Linked DNA regions of Schizosaccharomyces pombe. The protein of the gene in region 1 interacts with the protein of each later gene in a pairwise test. Each region holds a gene or a part of one and is shown in the gene's direction. Other genes may lie near its edges.

What was found.
Region 2: the proteins of adh4 (region 1) and sam1 interact in a two-hybrid assay, tested with the Schizosaccharomyces pombe proteins (one large-scale study listed by BioGRID).

Annotation. Positions count from the first base shown.
Region 1 is NC_003424.3:155,703-159,883, reverse strand, and holds adh4 (alcohol dehydrogenase Adh4), read left to right. Parts: upstream 1-1,951; 5' UTR 1,952-2,196; coding exon 2,197-3,336; 3' UTR 3,337-3,454; downstream 3,455-4,181. Other genes in the region: SPOM_SPAC5H10.07 (uncharacterized protein), read right to left, coding at 412-681. UniProt on the Schizosaccharomyces pombe protein: Involved in ethanol oxidation in mitochondria.
Region 2 is NC_003423.3:4,161,331-4,165,799, reverse strand, and holds sam1 (S-adenosylmethionine synthetase), read left to right. Parts: upstream 1-1,941; 5' UTR 1,942-2,123; coding exon 2,124-3,272; 3' UTR 3,273-3,731; downstream 3,732-4,469. Other genes in the region: Fe-sulfur ATPase Rli1, read right to left, coding at 1-647, 1,085-1,141. UniProt on the Schizosaccharomyces pombe protein: Catalyzes the formation of S-adenosylmethionine from methionine and ATP. The reaction comprises two steps that are both catalyzed by the same enzyme: formation of S-adenosylmethionine (AdoMet) and triphosphate, and subsequent hydrolysis of the triphosphate.

The DNA of each region.
Region 1 (4,181 bases):
TTCACTCGAAATAGTTTAATGTTAGAATTTGTTTTCTTGTTTGCCCATTCGAATACTAAAGTTTATGTCGCCAATCCTTCACTATGCTGTCGTTTCCTATACAATCGGGCGATTAACAGATATTTAGGAGAATGGGGTTTAAAAAGTCAATAGATTTTTAAATACTTCATCCAATGGTGTTTGCTCTTAAAGGAGAATGATGTATTGGTAAATAACACAAAAACGAACATTTGTGAGATGAATTTTGACCTTATGAAACAATCAAATCCAAGTTTGACCATTTCCATCATTTGCTACTTTCTTTGATTTTAATTACTACTTGGGTTATGGGGGTTCGATTACCAAAAAAAAAGGTACATTTGATCATGTTGATTACCTGCAATCATGTTTCCTTTTTGACAAAAAAAAAATTTAAAAATTGATTACCTCTATATATTTGCCAAAACCTTCGTAGGCTATTATTTCTTCAATGAATGACTTTCTAAATTTACAGTCAAGGTTTTCGATGCACCCATTATAACTGGTGCTTTCCATTGAACTAACCTTCCAGATTGGCCCTTTTGTCAAAACTATTAAAAAACTAATATTCCGTATTTTTCCTTTCTCTCTTTTTTCCTTCTTTTCAAGTGGGGCTGGAAAATCCGGCCCACAATACAATTTGTATGAAGTTAAGACTGTCATGCTGTTTTACTTTCGATATGATCGAGCTTGTTAATTTACAAGTTCTTAATAAAACGTTGTGTTTCTTTTACTTGACGATAAACTTATTTAGGATTGCTTAGACATACTTCCCCTTTGTTCGATCATCATGAAAAAAGGCCCATGTAATTATTCCCAAGTGTTTTCATATATAAAAAAGTTTTAATTTTTTTTTAAAGGGCATTGAGTCAAAGAGAAATTTTTAATTTTTAGTGAAATAGTATAAAATCCCTTTAAAGATGTCGCTTTCAAACCAATTCAGAAACTTTTGTATTCATCCCAACACTTCAACTAAGCTCTGATGCTCCTCTTACAAACAATAACATAAATTTTTACAGCGCCGCAAATGCCAAACAATGTGTGCTAAAAATTCCGGAGGCACGTTGCCAGCAGTCATTCTCATTCCGATTTTACGATAAGCAAAAAAATTGTCCAGAAGAACCGGAAGATGAACCAGCGATAATGCGATTGCTTTGACCGTATATTCCCCTTGGAGACAGAGCCGCAGTGATCCACATAAACATGGTAAATCCGTGGATCTTCTAGAAGATCTTGAGGTTTTACTGCCAATCAGCATCGACGACGATCACGTCAAATAACGAAAAAAACCCTTTTTGAGAATTGTTCCAACGTTAAGGTAACGCACTTTTTGGCATTTGGATGGCATGCATGCCAAAATCACAAAGTTTGCAGTAATTCGGGTTGCTTTGTTTTGGAAAAGTTCTCCCAGGAATCTAAAAATGTTACATATGTCTTACGACGAACTTACTGCCTATCAACTTGAGGGTAAAAGAAACGGAATGTGACCATTCATATTGCTTGGAATTGTTACTCAGACAATTGTATATAATGGCGCTCTTCATACTCAAGACGCTTCAGAATATTCCAATTCCTTTTGGGTAGAGAAATATTTGATCTTCTACTTTTTGGTAAGTAAAATTTATGATAATGGCGGAAAGAATGACAGTTTGGAGGTGATTTGATGTCGTTTGGAAAAGAGTTTTGGTGACAAGCAATTTTGTTTTGAAAATCATTTGAAGATCTTTTAATTCCTTAGCATTTATTTGACGTTGGAGTTGGCTGCAGATCTATTTAGCGAAATTGTTGTAAAAAGATCGATGTTCGATAAGTGTTCGTTAAGCGAGATAAGGAGTGGAAGTATCGAAATTTTAGACACTAATTGATTACACATTGATATTGGAGAAATTTTCGTACACTACTTAAGGCTCATTCCCCCTTGACTTTTTTGACCGATTGTTACATATTTCTTTTCCGTTTGGCTAATTATTTATTTTTTTTCATACTTTGTATATTATTGATTCTAAAAAATATCGGAGGTTAAGCTTTAGATGCGATTTTCTTTTTAACATGTCCATTCTTCGTTCTCCATTTCGTTTAATTCGATCGCCTGCTCGATTCTTTCCGTCACTCTTTCATTCCTCTTGTAATCAATCTTTTACTAATGGCTTAAAGCATCAATCAACCTCTTCGAAAGCCATGCCTGTTAGCGCATTCTACATACCTTCTTTCAACCTTTTCGGTAAAGGTTGTCTTGCTGAAGCCGCCAAGCAAATTAAGATGAGCGGCTTCAAAAACACCTTAATTGTTACCGATCCTGGTATTATTAAGGTCGGTTTGTATGACAAAGTTAAGGCTCTGTTGGAAGAACAAAGCATCACTGTTCACCTTTACGATGGTGTTCAACCTAATCCCACCGTTGGAAATGTCAACCAAGGTCTCGAAATCGTTAAGAAGGAAAACTGTGATTCTATGGTATCAATTGGTGGTGGTTCTGCTCACGATTGTGCCAAAGGTATTGCTTTGTTAGCTACTAATGGCGGTAAAATTGCGGATTATGAAGGTGTTGATAAATCCTCCAAACCTCAACTTCCCTTGATTGCAATCAATACGACTGCAGGAACTGCTTCTGAAATGACTCGTTTCGCAATTATCACCGAAGAGACCCGTCATATTAAAATGGCTATTATCGATAAGCATACTATGCCTATCCTTTCCGTTAACGATCCTGAAACAATGTATGGATTACCTCCTTCCTTGACCGCTGCTACTGGTATGGACGCTTTGACTCATGCTGTTGAAGCTTACGTCTCTACTGCTGCTAATCCCATCACCGATGCTTGTGCTGTCAAATGCATCGAACTCGTTAATAAGTATTTGAAGCGTGCTGTCGACAACGGCAAGGACGAAGAGGCTAGAGACAATATGGCTTATGCCGAATTCCTTGGTGGTATGGCATTTAACAACGCATCTTTGGGTTATGTTCATGCTATGGCTCATCAACTTGGTGGTTTCTACGGTATTCCACATGGCGTCTGTAACGCTGTTCTTCTTGCCCATGTACAGAAATTTAATTCTAGGGATCCAAGAGCAAATGCTCGCCTTGGTGATATTGCTTTTCACTTGGGTTGTGAAGAGCATACTGCCGAAGCAGCTCTTGACCGCATCAGTCAACTTGTTCTTGAAGTTAAAATTCGTCCTCATCTAGTTGATCTAGGTGTCAAGGAAAAAGATTTTGATGTCTTGGTTGACCACGCTATGAAGGATGCTTGTGGTGCTACTAACCCTATTCAGCCTACACATGACGAGGTAAAGGCTATTTTCAAATCGGCTATGTAAATAGAACGTTATCTCGATACCTAGAACAAATTATGAGCTTTTACATTTCACTGGCTTGAATGTTCACTTCAACATATCCTAAAGCATTTTTTTTGGCTTGAACCTTTTTTAGATTTGGAAAATATGTAAACAACGGTTTAATATATCAAATTTTGGATTTTTTTTATTAATTATATAAGTGAGCCTTTTCTAGTAGACACGCACGTCGTTTAATGAGTCTTGTTTGTATAAAAGTAATCATGTCTATCTTTTTGCTTCCAACGTAGTTCCAAACAACTCGAGGCCTTTTGTGAAACCTGCCATGGTGTCCCCTTCAAAACTCGATGCTATAAAATTCAAGTGATTAAAGAACTTATTCTTTTTGGACAATTAGCTTATACTGAAGCTTAATAGATTTGTTCGCGGTAATTCTCTTATTGGAGGAAATCTTGCACTAATGATCTACCAAATTCTGAATAGAGAACCAATTATTAGGTTCTGATGATCTTTTGCTAATACCTTACAAAGATAACATAATGAAACTAATGGATCAGAGGAAGAATTAGATCTTATTCCCAATTGCACTTGCAAATCCCAATAGAAGGGGAGACATGGATACCTAGTTAGAAACTAAACGCTTCTACATATTTCATAGTAAAAAACTTTTGGTCAGTAACTAACTTTGAAATACAATAGCTACTATAAGTGTTAATGTAAAATATATTTTGACTTCTATTAAAAGACCGCTGTTTAAAAATCACATGCAAAACCTCATTTCAATTTTACTCTTAGAAATTTGCCGATATTTTTCATTTAAAAGATTTAATGACACGATGGAAATGCACATTGTTTTAAGCTGCAACACA
Region 2 (4,469 bases), on another chromosome or scaffold:
GTGGCTACGGCAGCAATAGCAAATCGTTGAAGCTCACCACCAGAAAGATGGCCAACCTCACGATTTAAAAGATTTTGAAGATCGGTGTGATCCATAACTTCTTCAAAATTATTGTTGTTTGCACGAGCTTTAATTAAACCAGATACAGTTTTGTCACCAGTTTTAATCGCCCGTGGGATATGATCAACGTATTGAGGTTTGATAAGAGCCTTAATGTTATCTTCAACAACTTTGGTGAAAAAGTTTTGAAGTTCACTACCACGGAAGTATTTGACAACTTCAGCCCAGTCAGGAGGATTATCATAACGACCTAAATTAGGCTTCATTTTTCCGGATAGGATCTTTAACGCAGTAGACTTTCCAATACCGTTAGTACCAACTAAGCCCAAAACTTGACCAGGACGAGGAGTAGGCAAACGATGAAGCTTGAAAGAATTAGCAGAGTAACGATGGGTTACTTCACTTTCCAAGTTAGTGGGCAAATTAATAATGTTGATAGCTCCGAATGGACATTTTTTGACACAGATACCACAACCAATACATAATGTTTCACTAATAAATGCAATGCGATCGGTAGGATTAACTTCAATACACAATTTACCGGTGCGCACGACAGGGCAAGACCGGCGGCATTCTTGCCGACATTTCTAAAATATTGGTGAGCAAACTAATAAAAACCAAACATTCTAAAACCAGAAGCATTAAAAGCAAAGGAAAGTTTCGTAAGCAAGCAATAAAACGTATTTTAACGTGACACAGACCACTTTGAAAGTTTATTTAAATTTTCGGTCCTTTACCTTACAAGAACCTTTAGATTCGTTTAACCAACATATGGTGACAGCCAAGCCAAGCAAAAATTTACTACTAGTCCGAAAGTGCTTGGCAGATCGTAACAGGATCAAAAAATCTGAACAGAGGTACAATCAGGGCAGTTAAAATATGTTTTAATACTTGAACAAACAAAATTTGACTCAACTCTTTTCGTGGAAAACTTTGTGCACACACAAAAAAGCTCCAGTCATCCACAACGAGTAGACTATAACCTTCTACTAATAAAGCTCCTTTAATTTTTTTATTTTCTTACCTTTGGTCTACACTTATCCTCACTAACAATGGCGATTCTAGTAAGACTTTCGCTCATGGTGTTGAGTAGGGTGCAGTTGGCAAAGGACAACTTAAGGTGCGCCCAATTTTTTGCTTGTACTACCAGTCAACCTACTACAGTTTATAAAAATGCTACATTACATTTCGAATAAAATAAATAAAAAAGATAAATTCAAGTTTCTGAGACTGTAGAAAGATGTATTTTCTTAAATCGTCATTACGAAAATTTTTTATTGCCAATACGGACCTAGCGCTAAGTCATTGCCCATTTAATTGCAGACCAAATAATTGGTCAAAGATATGAAAGTTTGGAAGAGCCAGTTTTTGCAATTAAAAAACATAAGAATGAAGAAAAGAAAAACATCCTTCAATCTGCATAAATACTTATAAGATGCACATTGCATTAGCACACTCAATGCCCAAGTCCAGCCAATATCTAAGGGGACAGCTGGGTTTATTATATATTCAAGCTTCTTTAAATATCTACTAAATTTGCAGTATATAGTTCATCAATCGTAAACATAATTGTAAAAATAAATTGACAGTCAAAGACCCTTCTACTTTTACTTCAAATTGAAAATACAGCGATTTATCAAAATACGAAATACACTTTTTCGTGCTTTCCTTATTTTTTTAATTCATTACAGTCTAGCACTATAAAAAATTTAACATACTATTACCCCTGCTTTTAAATAACAATTGCGCAGAACAATTTGTCTCTACCAGATATCACTATTCTAAAATTGCTCAAGAAATTGAAAAAATGGCGCTACCATCCTGATAAGCAGTCACAACTATAATCAGCATATAAGGCTAAAGAATAACCTTACTTGCTTTACGAAACCTTGAGAGCTTCTTTTGACGAAATTCGCAAGCATATCTACATTTATTAGATTCATTGATAAAGAAGGGTTTTCATTGTTTCCTTATATTTGACGAAACTAATCGCTTGTCTTATTGTTCAATCTTTTCTAGTTTTTTGATTCCATATTTCCTTTACAAGTATCTTGGATTCCCCAATGGCTCAAACTTTTTTGTTTACTTCTGAATCTGTCGGTGAAGGTCATCCTGACAAAATTTGCGACCAAATATCTGACGCTATTTTGGATGCTTGTTTGAAGGATGACCCCTTTTCCAAGGTAGCATGTGAGACCGCTTCCAAAACCGGTATGGTAATGGTTTTTGGTGAAATTACTACTCGCTCACAAATTGACTACCAAAAGGTTATTCGTAATACCATTAAGAGCATCGGTTATGATGACTCTGAGAAGGGTTTCGATTACAAGACTTGCAACGTCCTCGTCGCCATCGAGCAACAATCTCCTGATATCGCTCAAGGTCTTCACTATGAGAAGGCTTTGGAAGAGCTCGGTGCTGGTGACCAGGGTATTATGTTTGGCTATGCAACTGATGAGACCCCCGAGAAGTTACCTTTGACCATTCTCCTTGCTCACAAACTCAATGCTGCCATGTCTGTCGCTCGTCGTGATGGATCTCTTCCATGGTTGCGTCCTGATACCAAGACTCAAGTCACTATTGAATATGAAGAGGAAAACGGTGCTGTCATCCCCCGTCGTGTAGATACCATCGTCGTCTCTGCTCAACACGCTGATAGCATCTCTACTGAAGACTTGCGTTCTGAAATTTTGGAGAAGATCATTAAGCCTACTGTCCCTGCTCATTTGTTAGATGAGAAGACTGTTTACCACATCCAACCTTCTGGTCGTTTCGTTGTTGGTGGTCCTCAAGGTGATGCTGGTCTCACTGGTCGTAAGATTATTGTTGATACCTATGGTGGCTGGGGTGCTCACGGTGGTGGTGCCTTCTCTGGTAAAGACTACTCCAAGGTCGATCGTTCTGCCGCCTATGCTGCTCGTTGGATTGCCAAATCTTTGGTTGCTGCTGGTTTGGCTCGCCGCTGCCTTGTCCAACTCTCCTATGCTATTGGTGTTGCTGAGCCCCTTTCTATTTTTGTCAATACTTACGGCACTTCTTCCAAGACATCTGCTGAGCTTGTTGAAATTATCCGCAAGAACTTTGACCTTCGTCCTGGTGTTTTGGTCAAAAGCCTTAAGCTTCAAACTCCTTTCTATCTTTCCACCGCTTCTTACGGTCACTTCACTGATCAATCCAAGCCTTGGGAACAACCTAAGGAGCTTAAGTTTTAGACAGATAGCTTAGTGCTATCATTAGCTTTTCTCGTTTGTTACGTTAAATACGATTAGAACATGTAACGAATTCTCAGTTGATGGCTTTATGGATACATGGTTTTCTTTAAAGATGAAAAGATTTTAGAGTTGTCTTTATTTATTCTATGTTTGCTTCTTTGTTCTTCAATTGTGAAAGATATATGGTTTTATATGTTAAGTCCTGGTTCAACGGATATGTATTTTTTTTTGGACTGGGTAGGCACAAATTCAACCTTTGTGTTTATGACTGCATCTCGAAGCGGAAAATACACTAAGCCAAAAATTTTTTTGCATACCGACATGTTAATGTTTCTTTTACCGATAGGCTTAGTGTTATTTGATGCTTTTCACGATAGTTATTATTTGCTGACTTTCAACTAGTTGGCCACTTTCGTTTAAATTGAGTTAATTATATGTTAATGGATTTGGTTCAAGACATAGTGTTTTAATCGTATAAGAACGAGTACTCATCTTCACTGTAGCTAATTTAGCTCGCTCACTTGTAACAAGGTGCATGCACACACAATACAAGCGTTTTGATTTTATTGTAATTTGTAATGAATTGAAAATGTCAAACTTAAAAAGGTAGACAATCATTCAGCTTTCAAGATGATCTGTGATAGTAAATGTCATTGGATTAAAACACATTGCTTGCTTACATTATTGTATTTATGGAATAAGCGATGGATTCTCAGCGATCCTAAAAGTACTTAGAATTATATTGGTCTTTTTTTTTGTAGTATAAATATTCAAAAATTCTTCACTAGATGTCTACGGCCATACCTAGGCGAAAACACCAGTTCCCGTCCGATCACTGCAGTTAAGCGTCTGAGGGCCTCGTTAGTACTATGGTTGGAGACAACATGGGAATCCGGGGTTTTGTAGGTTCCTTCTTTATTATTGCTGTTTGGTTTTTACCTTCTCTTTTGGAGCATATTTTGAGTACTGAATTGTGAATCTCAAATTCTATAGATGTTGCTACTCGTTGATTAAGCAATGCTAGAGCAGACTTTGAACTCTCAAATCAAATAATTAAGAAGTTTATGAAAGAAGGCTCTTGTCTTTGTCATGGGTATCGTCAAGCAAAATTCGATGTCTACATCAGATATTGTATAGGAAAATTATCAGATGAATTAGGAAGCATTGTCAACATGCAGAAAGAAATACGGTGTACCA